Linked DNA regions of Ovis aries. The protein of the gene in region 2 binds, or shares a complex with, the protein of the main gene of each other region. Links are inferred from orthologs where the notes say so. Each region holds a gene or a part of one and is shown on either strand. Other genes may lie near its edges.

Evidence for each region.
Region 1: the proteins of NUP205 (region 2) and NUP85 are in contact, whole or in part, in a cryo-EM structure (PDB 7TDZ), measured with the Xenopus laevis proteins. The link is inferred for Ovis aries from reciprocal best matches to the Homo sapiens genes NUP205 and NUP85. Residues at the interface, in XP_041443600.1 of Xenopus laevis: Glu1477, Cys1480, Arg1481, Cys1484, Asp1485, Ser1517, Gly1518, Tyr1519, Leu1520, Lys1521, Val1522, Val1524, Asp1525, Ser1574, Gly1575, Gln1582, Gln1638, Gly1641, Gln1642, Gln1645, Val1648, Leu1690, Asp1691, Ile1692, Gly1693, Leu1694, Asn1695, Asp1696, Gly1697, Ser1698; in XP_041431608.1 of Xenopus laevis: Ala86, Glu87, Glu88, Ala89, Ser90, Gly91, Lys92, Ser93, Arg94, Lys95, Pro156, Pro239, Met240, Gly245, Thr246, Gln247, Thr248, Leu249, Thr250, Glu251, Phe252, Glu253, Leu254, Lys255, Trp256, Gln257, His258, Trp259, Pro315.
Region 3: NUP205 (region 2) and NUP153 share a complex: the UniProt entries of both Homo sapiens proteins name them as parts of the nuclear pore complex. The link is inferred for Ovis aries from reciprocal best matches to the Homo sapiens genes NUP205 and NUP153.
Region 4: the proteins of NUP205 (region 2) and NUP107 are in contact, whole or in part, in a cryo-EM structure (PDB 7WB4), measured with the Xenopus laevis proteins. The link is inferred for Ovis aries from reciprocal best matches to the Homo sapiens genes NUP205 and NUP107. Residues at the interface, in XP_041443600.1 of Xenopus laevis: Gly1247, Gln1248, Arg1249, Pro1250, Ser1458, Arg1506, Gln1507, Leu1983, His1991, Gln1995; in NP_001091312.1 of Xenopus laevis: Gln134, Glu136, Pro189, Tyr282, Tyr283, Gln770, Ser772, Phe773, Thr774.

What each region holds. Positions count from the first base shown.
Region 1 is NC_056064.1:55,609,176-55,613,196, reverse strand, and holds the start of NUP85 (nuclear pore complex protein Nup85), read left to right. Parts: upstream 1-1,221; 5' UTR 1,222-1,297; coding exon of another isoform or gene 1,298-1,330; 5' UTR 1,331-1,971; coding exon 1,972-2,037; intron 2,038-4,021. UniProt on the Homo sapiens protein: Essential component of the nuclear pore complex (NPC) that seems to be required for NPC assembly and maintenance. As part of the NPC Nup107-160 subcomplex plays a role in RNA export and in tethering NUP96/Nup98 and NUP153 to the nucleus.
Region 2 is NC_056057.1:100,880,369-100,883,923, forward strand, and holds part of NUP205 (nuclear pore complex protein Nup205), read left to right. Parts: intron 1-821; coding exon 822-971; intron 972-1,551; coding exon 1,552-1,623; intron 1,624-2,194; coding exon 2,195-2,352; intron 2,353-2,796; coding exon 2,797-2,877; intron 2,878-3,555. UniProt on the Homo sapiens protein: Plays a role in the nuclear pore complex (NPC) assembly and/or maintenance. May anchor NUP62 and other nucleoporins, but not NUP153 and TPR, to the NPC.
Region 3 is NC_056073.1:39,014,305-39,018,131, reverse strand, and holds the start of NUP153 (nuclear pore complex protein Nup153), read right to left. Parts: upstream 2,417-3,827; coding exon 2,303-2,416; exon of another isoform or gene 2,140-2,302; intron 1-2,139. Other genes in the region: uncharacterized protein LOC121817444, read left to right, coding at 2,415-3,044. UniProt on the Homo sapiens protein: Component of the nuclear pore complex (NPC), a complex required for the trafficking across the nuclear envelope. Functions as a scaffolding element in the nuclear phase of the NPC essential for normal nucleocytoplasmic transport of proteins and mRNAs.
Region 4 is NC_056056.1:151,301,037-151,305,221, forward strand, and holds the start of NUP107 (nuclear pore complex protein Nup107), read right to left. Parts: upstream 2,801-4,185; 5' UTR 2,712-2,800; coding exon 2,704-2,711; intron 1,531-2,703; coding exon 1,439-1,530; intron 718-1,438; coding exon 631-717; coding exon of another isoform or gene 630-630; intron 15-629; coding exon of another isoform or gene 1-14. UniProt on the Homo sapiens protein: Plays a role in the nuclear pore complex (NPC) assembly and/or maintenance. Required for the assembly of peripheral proteins into the NPC. May anchor NUP62 to the NPC. Involved in nephrogenesis.

The DNA.
Region 1 (4,021 bases), on a different chromosome or scaffold from region 2:
CTTCTTTGTATGTCTGCTGCTGCTGCCGCTGCTGCTAAGTCGCTTCAGTCGTGTCCGATTCTGTGCGACCCCAGAGAGGGCAGCCCACCAGGCTCCCCCGTCCCTGGGATTCTCCAGGCAAGAACACTGGAGTGGGTTGCCATTTCCTTCTCCAATGCATGAAAGTGAAAAGTGAAAGTGAAGTCGCTCAGTCGTGTCCAACCCTCAGCGACCCCATGGACTGCAGCCTTCCAGGCTTCTCCGTCCATGGGATTTTCCAGGCAAGAATACTGGAGTGGGGTGCCATTGCCTTCTCCGTCTTTGTATGTGTATACATTTGTAAACATGGCACTCACAAAATAAATAACTCCTTTAGGTCACCGAAGCACTTTTGAGGTTTTCCATAACAAGATCTGGGATTCAAATTCCCTGATTTGATTTTTTCTCCTGCTTTTCTTTGGTGAGATAACAAATCAGTTGTTCAGTCGCTAAGCCGCGTTCGACTCTTGCGACTCCATGAACTGTAGTCCGCCAGGCTCCTCTGTCCATGGGATTTTCCCAGGCAAGAGTATGAGAGGGTTGCCATTTTCTTCTGTAGGGGATCTTTCCCACCCCGGGATCGAACCCGCGTCTCGGTATTCTTGACCACTGAGCCACCTGGGAAGCCCATAACAAACCAGTATTTGTGTTCAACTGAGCCCAGGGGTCTCCGTTTCCTAGCTGTTTCAGCTGCATCAATCTCGTCCCCCTCACGCCTCTGGAGCCTTTTGGGGTAGGGGCTGGTGACGAATACCTTCGTACACAAGCCCGATGGACCAACGGGGCTCCTGCCACGGAAAAAGCAGCGGCGCCGACGACTGGAGCCTGCAGACCGAGGCGCGGGAAGGAAACCCAGGCTCGCCAGAGGTGGTGAACTCGCTCCCGCCGGGGCCAAACCGAGAGCTCGCCCTCGACCGCGCACGCGCAGCCGCCTCCCCGCCGCTCCCGCCGTCTCCGGGGGGCCTTCTTTCCGCCCGGCTCAGGGGTGTCCGCGGCGGCGCCGGCTCTGGCGAAAGGGGTCCCGTGAGGGCAGGCCGCCCCTAGTGCTGCCTTCCCCGTTCGTGTGGTCGAGGCCAGAAGGAGGGGCGCGTGGGCAGCGCCGCAGAGCGGGTGGCCGAGGCTCTGAGGAGAAGGCCCCGCCGCGGCGGGCCTCTGGGCCTGCAGGCAGTGCGGGAGGCGCTCACGCGCGGGGTCCTCTCTCGCAGCCGGCCCTGAGCCGGAGCCCTGAGGCGCGAGCCCTGGCGGCCCCGCGAGTTCCCGGCGGCTGTGGTGCGGCGCTATGGAGGAGTTCGACAGCGAGCCGACGGTCACTGTAAGGGGGCCCCGAACAGTACGCTCTCCCCCGCCCTGGGGCCCGGAGATTGGGTCCGCCTCGTCCCTGCCGCTGGCAGGGTGCCCGGCCCCTTCCCTCAGCACAGTTGCCCCCCGTTCGGAAGTCGCATTAATTCGCTCCCCGCGTGTGGGTCGTGGTGGTCGCTGGGTTTCTGCTCCCATGTGTATTCTGAGGAATACCTGGCCCTGGAGACCGCCCCCCCAACTCTGTTCCTTTCTGTCCCTTGCCTCCCCGACCTCCCTGCTTCTCTGGCTTTTCCTGTTGGGCTAAAGCTTTAATGAGCGGGTTGGAGCCAGGCGGAGATATTGTACGGCTTTTTTTCTCCCAGCGGAGCAAAGCTTCACGTCGCAGCCCCCTGAGCCTGGCTTCTGCTTGAGCAGGCCGTAGGTTTACCAAGTATAGTTCTCTTGGGAGACTGCTGTTGTTCAGTGGCCCAGTCGTGTCCGACTCTTTGCGACCCCATGGACTGCAGCACGCCAGGCCTCCCTGTCCCTCACCACCTCCCGGAGTTTGCTTAAGTTCAAGTTCATTCCATCCTTGATGCCGTCGCTTCATCTCGTCCTCTGACGCCCTCTGCTCCTCCTGCCCTCGATCTTTCTCAACATCAGGGACTTTGCCAAATGAGTCGTCTGTTCTCATCAGATGACCAAAATACTGGAGCTTCAGCTTCAGCAACAGTCCCTCCAGTGAGTATTCAGGATTGACCTCCCTTAAGATTGACTGGTTTGATCTCCTTCCTGTCCAAGGGACTTTCAGGAGTCTTCTCCAGCACCACAGTTCGAAGGCATCAATTCTTTGGCATTCTGCCTTCTTTATGGTCCAGCTCTCACAACTGTACATGACCCCTGGGAAGACCATATCGTTGACAACACGAACCTTTGTTGGTAATGTCTCTGCTTTTCAACTCACTGCCTAGGTTTGTCATCACTTTCCTGTCAAGAAGCAATTGTGTTTGATTTCATGGCTGCATTCACTATCTGCAGAGATTTTGGAGCTCAAGAGGAAATCTGTCATTACTTCCACCTTTCCCCCTTCTATTTGCTGCAGTGGTGATTGCAGCCATGAAATTAAAAGAGGCTTACTCCTTGGAAGGAAAGTTATGACCAACCTAGATAGCATATTCAAAAGCAGAGACATTACGTTGCCAACAGAGGTCCGTCTAGTCAAGGCTATGGTTTTTCCAGTGGTCATGTATGGATGCGAGAGTTGGACTGTGAAGAAAGCTGAGCACCGAAGAATTGATGTTTTTGAACTGTGGTGCTGGAGAAGACTCTTGAGAGTCCCATGGACTGCAAGATCCAACCAGTCCATTCTAAGGGAGATCAGTCGTGGGTGTTCTTTGGAAGGACTGATGCTAAAGCTGAAACTCCAATACTTTGGCCACCTCATGCAAAGAGTTGACTCATTGGAAAAGGCTCTGATGCTGGGAGGGATTGGGGGCAGGAGGAGAAGGGGACGACTGAGGATGAGATGGCTGGATGGCATCACGGACTTGATGGACATGAGTCTGAGTGAACTCCGGGGGTTGGTGATGGACAGGGAGGCCTGGTGTGCTGCAATTCATGGGGTCGCAAAGAGTCGGACATGACTGAGCAACTGAACTCAACTGAACTGAATGGAGCCAGATGCCATGATCTTAGTTTTTTTTAATATTTAGCCTTAAGCTGACTCTTTCACTCTCCTCCACACTCATCAAGAGGCTCTTTAGTTCCTCTTCACTTTCTGCCATTAGGGTGGTGTCATCATCTAAGTCTGTTGATGTTTCTCCTGCTTCTAACTTTGCTTCTTTGCCATTTAGCAGGGCTTACAGGTTACCAAGAGCTAAGAGGTGTAGAACAAGCCTAAGTGGACAAATGGAAATATTTGTCAGGGAGTATTTCTTAGGAGACAGGTGTGATGGTCTGGTATTCCCATCTCTCTAAGAGCTTTCCACAGTTTGTCATGATCCACACAGTCAAAGGCTTTAGGGTAGTTGATGAAGCAGAGATAGATGTTTTTTTGAAATTCCCTTGCTTTCTGTATCATCCAGCAAATGTTGGCAATTTGATCTCTAGTTCCTCTTTCTTTTCTAAGCCCAGCTTGGACATCTGGAAGTTCTTGGTTCGCATAATGCTTCAGCCTAGCATGCAAGATTTTAAGCATGATCTTACTAGCATGGGAGATGAGTGCAATTGTCTGATGGTTAGCACATTCTTTGGTACTACCCTTCTTGGGAATTGAGATGAAGATTACCTTTTCCAGTCATGTGGCCACTGCTGGGTCTTCCAGACTTGCTGACATAATGAATGCAAATCCTTGATGGTATTCTCCTTCAGGGATTTGAGTAGTTCTGCTGGAATTTCATCACATCCACTAGCTTTATTAACAGCAGTGCTTCTCCTAAGGCCCACTTGACTTTGCACTCCAGAATGTCTGACTCTGGGTGACTAACTACAACCGGACTAACTAGTAATCCGGTTCATTAAGATCTTTTTTATACAGTTCTTCCATGTATTCTTTCTATCTCTTCTTGATCTTTTCAGCATCTACTAGGTCTCGGGAGAATACTCCTGCTTTTTCATTGCTCTGTTTGCTTTCACATCTGTTTGAACTCTCAGGAGAGTATGTCAGATGTGGATGATATATGATGCTTAGAAGGAGATTCATGGCTGTTAGAAGAGGGATACCTAT
Region 2 (3,555 bases):
CCTAATGGCAGAAGAGTTTGACTTCATTTTCATAATCAGTATATGTTATTTTTAACCCCAAGATATTGTTTATAACAAGATTTTTAAGAAACCCTTTTTTATTCCTAATAGGAAAAAAGAATTTCTATCTTGCCTATCTTGCTGTCTACTTTTTAAATATTGATGTAGCTTTGCTTGTAATTATTATTATTAGCAGTAGTAGCAGTGTTTGTATGTTTATAAAACTCATAATTTAAGACTTCAAAGCCAGGCATATTATAATAATATTGGATTCAAAAACTTTTATTGTATAAGTGATTCCCAGTCCTAACTATATGTTAGACCAAAACGGCATTGATCATCTCAAGATAGCAGAAAATTATGCATTTTAAAGTTATGCAAATTATGTATTTATTTTAGTTTTTAAAATGTATTTTTTTCTGAAATAAAAATCAGATTTTATGATAGTCTTTTTTTGTCAAGATAAATAGTTGAAAAGTACTTGGATTATCTTTTTAAGTATTAAATTCCCTATTAATGTCAAACTATGATAGATCCAGAATTCTCTAGATCTGTGTGAAGTTATTCTAGCAACAGAAACTTGATTCTCTTTTGTTCTTCAGTTGCTTTTGCTTAGCTTTCATAGACATACACTGGCTTATTTTTTCTCTTGGCATCTGGTTTTTTCTTTTTTAATCTTATAGAGTGGCAAATTATTATGGTGCATAGTTTCATAAATTATTGACTATGTTGCATGGGAAAATACTGACAAGTTACAGACTATGTCTGTTCTGATTTTGTGTCGTATACTGGGAAACTAAACATATATATTTAAATTCCAGAATATGAAATATCTATGCTGAACCAGATGTCATGGCTGATGAAGACTGCCTCAATAGAACTAAGGGTAACTTCTTTGAATCGCCAGCGCTCACACACCCAGAGGCTCCTCCACCTCCTGCTGGATGACATGCCAGTGAAACCCTACTCAGGTGAACATCTGCATGTTGGCATTTGTGTTGCCGTGCTGCTGACTGGGCTGTGTGAATGCAAGTGCAAATCTGAATCTTATGGTTAGTCTGTGATTGTAGGCCAAGCATGTTCTTTCTGCCTTTAGGATTTTTTCCCTTCAGAACACGAAATTAAAAGTCACCCATCATTGCCATTTTATTATTGTTAAAAGCATTCACATTTTGCTCTATTCATATACACAAATACACAGTGGAGTTTGTCACACTGAGCCAGCATGACCCAAGATATTCTAATATGTGTTTTACATGCAAATTAAGCACAGACTTTTCTAATCATCTCACAGGTGTGATTGGATCCTGCCTCTTTTAGAGTTCTGATTATGCTTTTTACAATTGTGAAGTGGATCTGATAGAAACAGAAAGAATTAGATGAATGTTGTTGATAAGTTCTCATCATCTGTGCATTTTAATTATCCATTTGCAAGGGGCTCTTTGACCTAGAAACAATGACATAGAAATATAATAACCTGATATTTGTTATTTCTGAATAAATTTTGTGAATGTGTTCTTTTCTGATCTTTTATTCCTGATGCTCCAACAGATGGGGAAGGAGGCATGGAAGATGAAAATAGGTCTGTCTCTGGGTTCCTGCACTTTGACACTTCTACAAAAGGTAAAGCTCTTTGAATCTGTAATAAATTTGTAAGTAAGTGTTAGTCGCTCAGTAGTGCCTGACTCTTTGCGACCCCGTGGACTGCAGCCCACCAGGCTCCTCTGTCCATGAGATTTTCCAGGCAAGGATACTGGAGTGGGTTGCCATTTCCTTCTCCAGGGGATCTTCCCAACCCAGGGATCGAACCCAGGTCTCCCGCACTGCAGGCAAATTCTTTACCGACTGAGCTACAAGGGAAGCTAGATATGTATATATTAAATTGCTTAAAATTTTAGGAGGTAATTAATGCCTGTATCTGCAAATTCTGGACTGATGTTGAAAAGCTATGTGAAAATTATTTGTCAACAAAAAAATCTTTTTATAGCAAGATGATAGCATGGGAAAAACATTTTTGCAAATGAATGTGTTAGAAATAAAATCCAATTTAGATTTCAATACAATTTTCAATTTCCAGACTGAGGCCCTTTCTGAACATAGATATAGTACTGTCTTTGAGAGTGAGCTGAGTACTGTGCTTTGCTTTTCTCTTCAATGTCCCAGCTAAAGTAAAACGACTTTTCATTTTTTCTAGTACGTCGCAAAATTCTCAATATTCTCGACTCCATTGACTTCAGTCAGGAGATTCCTGAGCCTTTGCAGTTGGATTTCTTTGATCGGGCCCAGATTGAACAAGTTATTGCTAACTGTGAACACAAGAATTTACGGGGACAGACAGTCTGCAATGTCAAGGTGAGCATTGCTTTAGAGTGTGTGAAGTATCAAGTGGTTCACAGTCTTTGAGTCATTAGGAAAAAATAACTTTTTTTTTTTCTAATAGAGGTGTTGGTTTATTAGACTGTGGTTTACACTTTTCAAGCAGCAGTGAAAGAAAACTGAATAGCCCGCACTAATTTTATCTGTTAGGTTTCCCATCTCCTTCGTGTTAGTAATCATGCCACCCAGCTGTCACTCAGGGTGGTTTTAATTATTTAACTCTCTACCAGGTAGGTGGTAATGACCTGACTAGTAGGAAGAAGATATCCTGTGCATTTGGACCAAGTTTCCTGCCACAGAGGCTCTTTGGTACTACTCTCTGAAACTTTCCCCTCTAGGGCAGTTTAAAGTAACTGCTAAGTTATTGTTGTACCAGTGTCGGGAATGATCTTATTTTTCTCCCTTCTCTCAATTATGTAGCTGCTTCACAGAGTTCTTGTGGCCGAAGTGAACGCCCTTCAGGGTATGGCAGCCATAGGACAAAGACCTCTCCTGATGGATGTAAGCCCTGCTGACACCTTTTAACTCCTTAAGCTACTTAAATCACCAGTTAGATGATAAAACAGCGAACTGACTTCTAATTCATTATTAGGAAACAACTTAAAAATTAAAAGTCACTCGTCATTGCCATTTTATTATTGTTAAAAGCATTCACATTTTGCTCTATTCATATACACAAATACACAGTGGAGTTTGTCACACTGAGCCAGCATGACCCAAGATATTCTAATATGTGTTTTACATGCAAATTAAGCACAAACTTTTCTAATCATCTCACAGGCATGATTGGATCCTGCCTCTTTTAGAGTTCTGATTATGCTTTTTACAATTGAGAAGTGGATCTGATAGGAATGGAGTCTTTCACTTTTGACTTTGTAATGTTAAAAGCTGAACTGAAGTTAATGTCTGGATGCCTGAATAAAAATCATATCCTTTCTGCTAAGCTAGTTGAGGATTTACAACCTTTTCATATTGTGTAATAGATTTTACTTGTTCCCAGTCAGTGAGGGAAGAGTCATCACAAATGGGGAGATATGGGTCAGAGATTGAGTGGGAAGGACCACATATGTGGAAACACAGCTGGCTAGGCCAAAGCCAGAGGCAAACAAATAGAAGACACATCGAGAAAATGTGATGTCAAACTTGGGTTTTAGGGAGCTCTAGTATAACAGAGTCGGA
Region 3 (3,827 bases), on a different chromosome or scaffold from region 2:
ATGTCATGAAGCTCCATGCTATTCATGATGACTCAGCAGCTGCTGCTAAACAGAGGTGACAGCCTAGGATAGCTGACAGCAAGCAGGTGGTCTACAAGTTCACAGAAGTTTTAGTAAGGACTAAAGAACATCCTTATTTTAAGATTTTAAAAAATCCTCAAATATTCTTTTGTATATGCCTGGATACTTTTCTTTGGTAGTATTGCCAATACTAATTGTTGTTCAGTGGCAAGTCGTGTCCAACTCTGCAACCCCATGGACTGCAGCACGCCAGGCTCCCCTGTTCTTCACTACCTCCCGGAGTTTGCTCAAACTCAAGTCCATTGAGTTGGTGAGTCATGCTATCCAACCGTATTAGCCAATACTAATAATACCTGCAGAGTTGATTAAGAAACTTCCAAACACCTTTAATCTCAATTCAAAAGCTACAAATGTACTTTTTCAATTAAATGGCTGTGGCAAAAAGCTGAATACTTTAAACAGGGGGAAATGATAAACTACCAAACTTTAAAATAAAACTGCACAGTCTGAAATCATATCAGCTCTAAGACAATTTGGATCACAAGTGTTATGCTGTTAAGGCATCATCTCCCTCAAATTAGGTTTTTATCCAAGTATATTTAAAAATAAGGTGTGACTTTGGCTTTCGCCACCTGGAATATACGAGCTCCTTTCTAAACTCTGTCCAGACCATCCTATGATCTGTATTTACATTTCATTTTTTATGTAGTAACTTTCTCCTAAGGAAAGCACTATTTTTTCAGAAAAAACAGAAAGCACATGTGTCAAACTTCCTCGCAACAAAAGGGTTAGGTCAAAGGGCCAGGCTTGTGACCTGAATTCTAATCTTGCTCCTCACAAAGAAAATTTGAAAACCAAGCCTATCTGGGGGAACACTGGTGGGAGTTGATAGTAGCCAAGACTTGTAACCATTAGTAGAGAGCTACCTAATACTATAAACTACGAAATTTCACTATTAAGAAACTTCTCCCAAATCTTTACTTTTAAAATTCTGTTTTTAATGATACAATTTAACAACAGCACCAAACATGTTTAACTGTTAAATATTTATCATCATCTGGAATAAAGCAATCTAGAAGTCTACCTTTTATAGTATGCAACAAGTTATCAGACCCTTTTGCTATACTTTTTATAGGTTTAAGGCCCACACTTACTTCCTACCTTACTATCAGTGAAAAGTTTTATAAGTGACTTTTATTAGAAGGTTTTCAACATTTTCCCACTCAATCCCCCGTTAACAAGCAAAACTTAAAATACTTAACTTTCTCAGAATCAAATATCTGAGGATAAACTCCTATTTTTATAATTTCAAACACCCACGAGTGCACAAGGTGGTTAAATTTCAAGACCACCAACATTCCTGTAGTGTCGAAAGTACCTAAACTTCTAGAATACCCATTGCAATATTAAAATATTTTGTGCATGAGATCAGAACTGGAGTCCCAGTCAACTGTGCATAATGGCCAATTCTAGTCTCCAAAATAAAACGCGCGGGTGTGTGTGGGGAGGGGGGGGAAAGGTTGGACAAAAGTGGGGAGGGAAGAGTCTCGCGACGGAAAAACAGACGTAAGTGCGGAGAGGGACTTTCAAAATGCCCCAGTGCCACTAACCATATCCCGGTTGAAGAAAAAATTAAATAAGCCAGGGCTCTTAGATCGGGGAGGGCCACGGGGAGATGGAGAATTTAAAGGATGGAGAATAAGTTATTTCACTTTCCCTGTAACAGCGCCCCCGTCAAGCCCCAGGTAGGTACCCTGGCGGGGTGAGGATCGGAGGAGTCCTTGGGGCAGCCCCCCTCCCCGCACGCGCTGAAACGCGGGAGACTAGAAATCTGCAGGCGTGGGGGTGGGGGGCCCTCCCAACCACAGCATTTTCCCTTTTCCCTTGAGGGACATGAGTAATTAACCACCCCCCCTCCTCCAAGCTCCTAATCCCCGCCAAAAAAAGGGGGGGGGGGGGGCAGAATTCTAGGCCCACCGTGGGCCTCGTACTTGTGTTCCCGCCCTGCGCCCAGGCCCGGGGAAAGCCCCGGGGCGGAGAGGGCCAGGGTGCGGGGCGGGGGGTTGGTGGAGAGAGGAGGCCGAGCCACACGTGTGCGCCGCAGGGCTGGCCGGCCTCAAGCCCACTTCCCGTCGCCGCCCCGGCGGCCTCGGCTCCCGCCGCCTCGCCCGGGGCCTCCCCGACGCTCCACGTGGGGCGCCAGGGCCGCCCCCCCCGCCCCCCCGCCGCCCCGAGGGCCCGCGAAGGGACCCCCTCACACAGAGCGCCGGGGCTCCCTTACCTGGTGCTGCGGTCGCCCCTGCTGGTAAGGCTTCATCGGGCCCTGGTGGCAACGCCGCGTCCGGATCTTGCCGCCGCCACCGCCCCCTCCTCTGCCTCCGGCTCCCGAGGCCATGGCGGAGCCTCCGCGGCTTCCCCCTCCGGGGCGGGAGAGGCAGAGGCGGCCTCAGAGGACCCCCGCCCCCCGCCTCGCCTCACCCGGCCCCAGCCCCCAAGAGTCCGCCCGCGCTGCCCTCACAGCGGGGGCCCAGGCCCACCGGGAACCGCGGAGCGGCGAGCAGAAGCGGAGAAGAGAATGCGCGCTGGCGGCAGCGAGGTGGGGGGAGCGGGGCGGGGAGGCCACAGAGGCCGAGGAGCTGGCTCTCCGGTCCCGCAGGCTCCCGCGGACCCCCGCCTCTGTGTGTGTCACCGTCTCTATGGAGATTTCCCCCGCAGAGGACAACGCGAGCGGCCCCCGGCGCTGCTCGGGCCTAACTCGGCCGCCGGCTGATGGAGATTCTTCTTCCGCACGCCCCAGCCGTGTAGCTGCCGCAGTTGAAGCCGCCGGCGCCGCCCGCCTACCCCTCCCCTTTGCGCACAGCGCCCGCCCCGCCGCCGCCGTCGTCGTCGTCGCCGCCGTCGTCCCTGCAGTCGCCGCTGTTGCGTCTATTGCCGCTGCTAAGGCCGCCGCTGCGGTCTCGAGCCAGAACACCGTCACTCGTCAGCGCCCGGCGAGCCTGCGTCATCACGCTGCGACCGGCTGATAGGTGAGGAAGGAAGGAAGGGCTGGTCGAGCCCGCGCTCTCGGCCGCGCGGGCCGCTGGGAAATGTAGTTAACGGGAGGAAGGCTAATTCTCGGAAAGGACGCGGAAGGAGAGAGGCACGGTTTGCCGCAGAGGCACAAAGCCAGGGGGGTTCCGTTCCTTTTCCTGTGCTCGGCTATAAACGTAGACTTTGAAAGACGCATTTAACACAGAAGCAGTAACCTCCTTCTTACTCTCCTTCCTCGTGGTTGGTAAAGAGGACGGATAGTAAGGTAAAGAGGTAAAGTGAGCAGATAGTTAAATTAGACAGGAGCGAACATTATCTTATAAAAAGAAAAAAACCGGTTGAAAAAAGCAATGTTCATGATCTTTAAGCCTAAAGCAGAATTAGAAAAACATACAGTGTCATTAATGTTCCGTTGTTACATAAGAGCTGTTGTCAAAGAAGGCGAATTCTGGTTCCACCACTCTAGTTTGACCTTGGATAAGTCAAAACCTTCCTTCTCCCTATAAAATGGGAACTTTAATATCCACCTTATAGAGCTGTTGTGATCATACGAGTGGAGCACTTAGTATATTTCCTAGTATATGGGAAATGCAGTAAATGAGTACAGTGACTACCTACAGCAGTCAGCTCACATGAGAGGTAAAGGATATATTAGCAGTAATAAAACTGTACATATATTTGCCCCAAATAGAAGACGTATTTAGGAAAGTGAGTAAGCGAGCTAGGCTCAAACACTGAATCCACAAAGTATAGATATTTTAAGAGTTGACCGTTAA
Region 4 (4,185 bases), on a different chromosome or scaffold from region 2:
ATTAGTAAAAAGAATTCGAAGTGCATGAGCATTGATCATGAAAATGAAACAAGCAAATAAAAACGAACAATTTTCACTTTTCAATTATTTAGATTCTAACCAAATATACTTTCAATATTAACATTTCTATAATATCAAGATTTAACTTATTTTTCTAAATACGAACTTTTGGTACTACTGAGCCCACCAAAAAAATTTTACTGCAAACAGAAATGCTGTCATTATAACGTAACTGAACATAAAAAAAAAAAAAGACACTCATGAGTTCATGAATTTATCAAATTCTAATTTTATAAAGCATACGATAGTATAAAGGACATGGACTCTGAAGTAAGCAGATTATGATTTGAATTTTGGTTCCATTACTTACATACTTACCTAGCTATTTTATCTGCATTAATCAACTTCTCTAGTTCTCATGTTCAGATTTGACAAAATAGAGACAATATCTACTTTCACAGCTATTATGCAATTATGTAAAGCCTTACACATGGTAAGAGTTCAACAAATAGTAAGTGCAATCCCTATTATTTGTTCTTAATTAAAAATAACTTATAAAATATAATATTACAGTATTAGCTGCTATTACTGTTATCATTATTAAATGCTTTAAAAGCAAAAAAATCTTACAAGGTTGTCGAAATGAGCTGGGAGTTCGGGGCATAACCTGGTTTCTTGGAGTGGTATTAGAAAAAATTTCATCTTGGGCTACCCGAACTACAGGAAATGTTAAAGAAAGTTTTTTGTATAGAAAAAAACATCACTAAAGTTAGAATGAACCATATTTCAGTTCAGTTCAGTTCAGTCGCTCAGTCGTGTCCGACTCTTTGCGACCCCATGAATCACAGCATGCCAGGCCTCCCTGTCCATCAGCAACTCCCGGAGTTTATCCAAACTCATGTCCATAGAGTTGGTGATACCATCCAGCCATCTCATCCTCTGTCGTCCCCTTCTCCTCCTGCCCCCAATCCCTTCCAGCATGAACCATATTTATACTATACAAAATATGAGAATATGTTTTTCAAGGACAAGGTATTTTATAGCTACCATATTTTCTATGCAAAGAGTAAATAATTCCTTTTCCCCTTTAAATTCTAGTTATCAGTTACTACAGTCTTGAACTAAGTGCTCAAGTCTTAGGTTACCACACACTGAACTAAGAGTTCTTAGAACTCAAATAATAAAGAAAATCTAACCTCAGCAAAAGCTAACCACAATATGACAGTTAGCAGTAAAATGGAACATCCTTATTTTCAAGGAAATATGAATCTCACTGAATTTCAGCATCATATTTACCAAATAACACATCTGGAGAGTTAAAAAAATTAATTTCCACAGTATTTTATTGCAGCTAGTGTTTAATATCACTATGAAGTCTATAATGCTAATTCCAAACATGTTACAATTTTTATAATGATGCTTAAAATGCAAAGGATACTTAAAGCTCTTTTTTGGGCACTCTGTTTGCGTGCAGTCCGAGTCACCTCTGCCTCCCGGATCACAGGAGATGACATCTCTCCAAAGCCACTCCTAAAATGGCAATAATCAAATTCACATGAATGAAATGAGAAAGGAGCATTTGCAAAAAAAACTTCTATCATTACCAAATCCAGCTTATCTCTCAAAGTCCTGCTCAAATTTTACCCGCATAAAGTCTTCTCTGACTTACGTGTTAATTTTTTCCTCCTCTGGAATTATTTTAACACTTGGAATCTAAATCTATATTCTAACACTGCTTTAAATAATTGCTTCCTGAAGATAAACCTTACTTCCTTGGATTGAGGAGGTTCCTAAAGTTGCAGGAACTCTTAAAAGGATGTCTGTAGTCTCCAAAGTACTTCAAACCATGGATACTTCTAAGCTGGTGACTTGGGAAACTAAATAAAAAATAAATCTAATAAATTGGAAAGAAATGATCCTTCAAGCTTTTCTTCCCAGAGTACACTAAGGGTGTCGTCTATCTCAGTACTATTACAGTCACAGACATTCTCAGCCCAAAGTCTAGAAAATAAATTGTGTGTATTATGAGACCTGTATCTTAAGAATCTAATGTGCATTTCCTCCACTTGAAATCTTCAGATAGATATCTCTGGCCTACAGAATCAAGTCCAAATTTCCTACCATGGCTTTTATAATCTGACCCCAGCTTACCAGTTCAGCCACAAACATCACTTTCATACAAACACACACTGCATGTGACCATTAAGCTATACTTTCATATCCTTACACCTTTATACCTTTGTAGGCATTCTTTTCAGAGGCCTACATTCACCTCTTTGGTCTATCTGGTGAATACTATCTGCTGAATCAAACAGCCCCCTAGAATCTAGAAACACATATCCAGGTTGGCAACTTGGTTCTTAGCTTCCTTTGTTAGCTTCCTAACTGATCAAGTTCCTTAACCTCTTTTAGCCTCAATTCTATGTATGAAAAGAGGATCACAGTAGCTACCTTCATAGGATTGAATAACTCATCAGGCCCCTACATAAAGATGAGTTATTCAAGGATCTTGGCAAGGACCATATCCGTCCCCGGCCCAAGCGGCCTTTCTCCCTTAGCTGCAGTCTTCCAGCCGGAAAAGGATGCCTAGAATCAGCACCCAGGCCCTCGTCTGCTTCCTCTGAGTCGGGTTTCACCTGTTTCATTCCTCCAACACGCTGGGGAGGAAAGTGATCGACTTCAGCCTTCACCACCAGAACTTACCTGTCCATGGCTACAGCCTTCTCCAGCAAGAACTTTGCAAACTCAACTCCACTTTAGCCACCGCGTTTCAGCCTACCCGCTCACCGGAAGTAAACCCTTCGACCTGGAAGCAAGTTCTCATGTTATCGCGAGGGGTGGGAGGGGAAAAGAACCAACTTTCCCTCTAGGCGCATGCACAAAGCCGCACTTTCGGCCTGCGCAGGCGCAAAGTTGTGTCGGCGATTAACGGCTCCGGGCTGGGCAGGGCCGGACCAGGGGCGGGGTAGAAGTGGGGTAGGAGGCGGGGCCTGATCGTTTATCCGTGCTGCGCGGCCGCCACTTTGCTTGACTGACATTTGTGAGGCGTGGTCCAGGCGCCGGTGTCCTGCTAGAGGTCCTGATGTATATTGATGGTATAGAAAAACGTGAAGCCATTTCCTCATACTCTATGGGAAACACCCTGGTCGTTGAATTCAGACGTGCTGGCTCTGCTCTACATCTTGGAGGTTCTTATATCTCTGACTGTACTCACCTTGTTTGAGCTGAAGTGTAAACCCCTTACAGTCTTTGAAACTGTTTTCCATAGTGGCTAATTATTCTTTACTTGGTATATTTCCCTATTAAGGAGAAAATGATCACCTGTCTTAAAAAGTGTAAAAGGTGTTGGTATCGCCCTCTATTTCAAAGTGCAGTAGTCAAAAAGCTGTATATTCTAGCCCTAAAGGAATAAGTTTACGTTTTCCTTAGGCATTTGTTGATATATTCCACCCTAATCCTGGGAAATGTCGTTCTAGGAGGACTTCTTCATACCTAATTCCTGCTGAGACAGCGTGGGGTTTTGAAAAAACGTGGCGTTGAGCTCCATCTAGGTTAGAAACCCCGGCGCTGCAGATTCCTTGCCTGTAAAATGGAGATAACGCGTTCATCACAGAGTTCTTGGGAGGATTAAGACGAGATGTCAAAGGTGCATCGCACATAGTAGTCATCGAAATGTTAATTTTCTCCTCCATCAATAACTATTTGAGTCTCACCCTAGTACCCTCTTTTTTTTTCATATTCTAATTTTTCTTGTATAAAAGAGTACTTGTCTCTTAATGGAAAATGAAATGTGGCCTTAATGTTTTTTTGTCAGTACTGGAATCAGGTTTATTCAAAGTAGGAGCCTGTTTCAGGTTCTTGCCATGTGTCCCCTGGCAAATGAATTGTAAAGTGTTTTATTATAAAATGTATTTGCGGTGATTGACCATAAGGCACACAGTAAAACGGAAGAGCAGTTTGGAGCAAAGAATTACCTCCAAGGTTCAGTTCATACGTAAAGAGGGAACATTTGTGTAAAAAGTGTACCAGGAAACTACCCTGGAGGTCCAATTGTTAAGACTTTGCCTTCCACTGAAATGGGTGTAGTTTTCATCCCTGGTCCGGGAGCTGAGATCCCACATGCCTCTGAGCCAAAACAACAACAAAAACCCAGAACATAAACAACAGAAGCAACATTGTAACAAA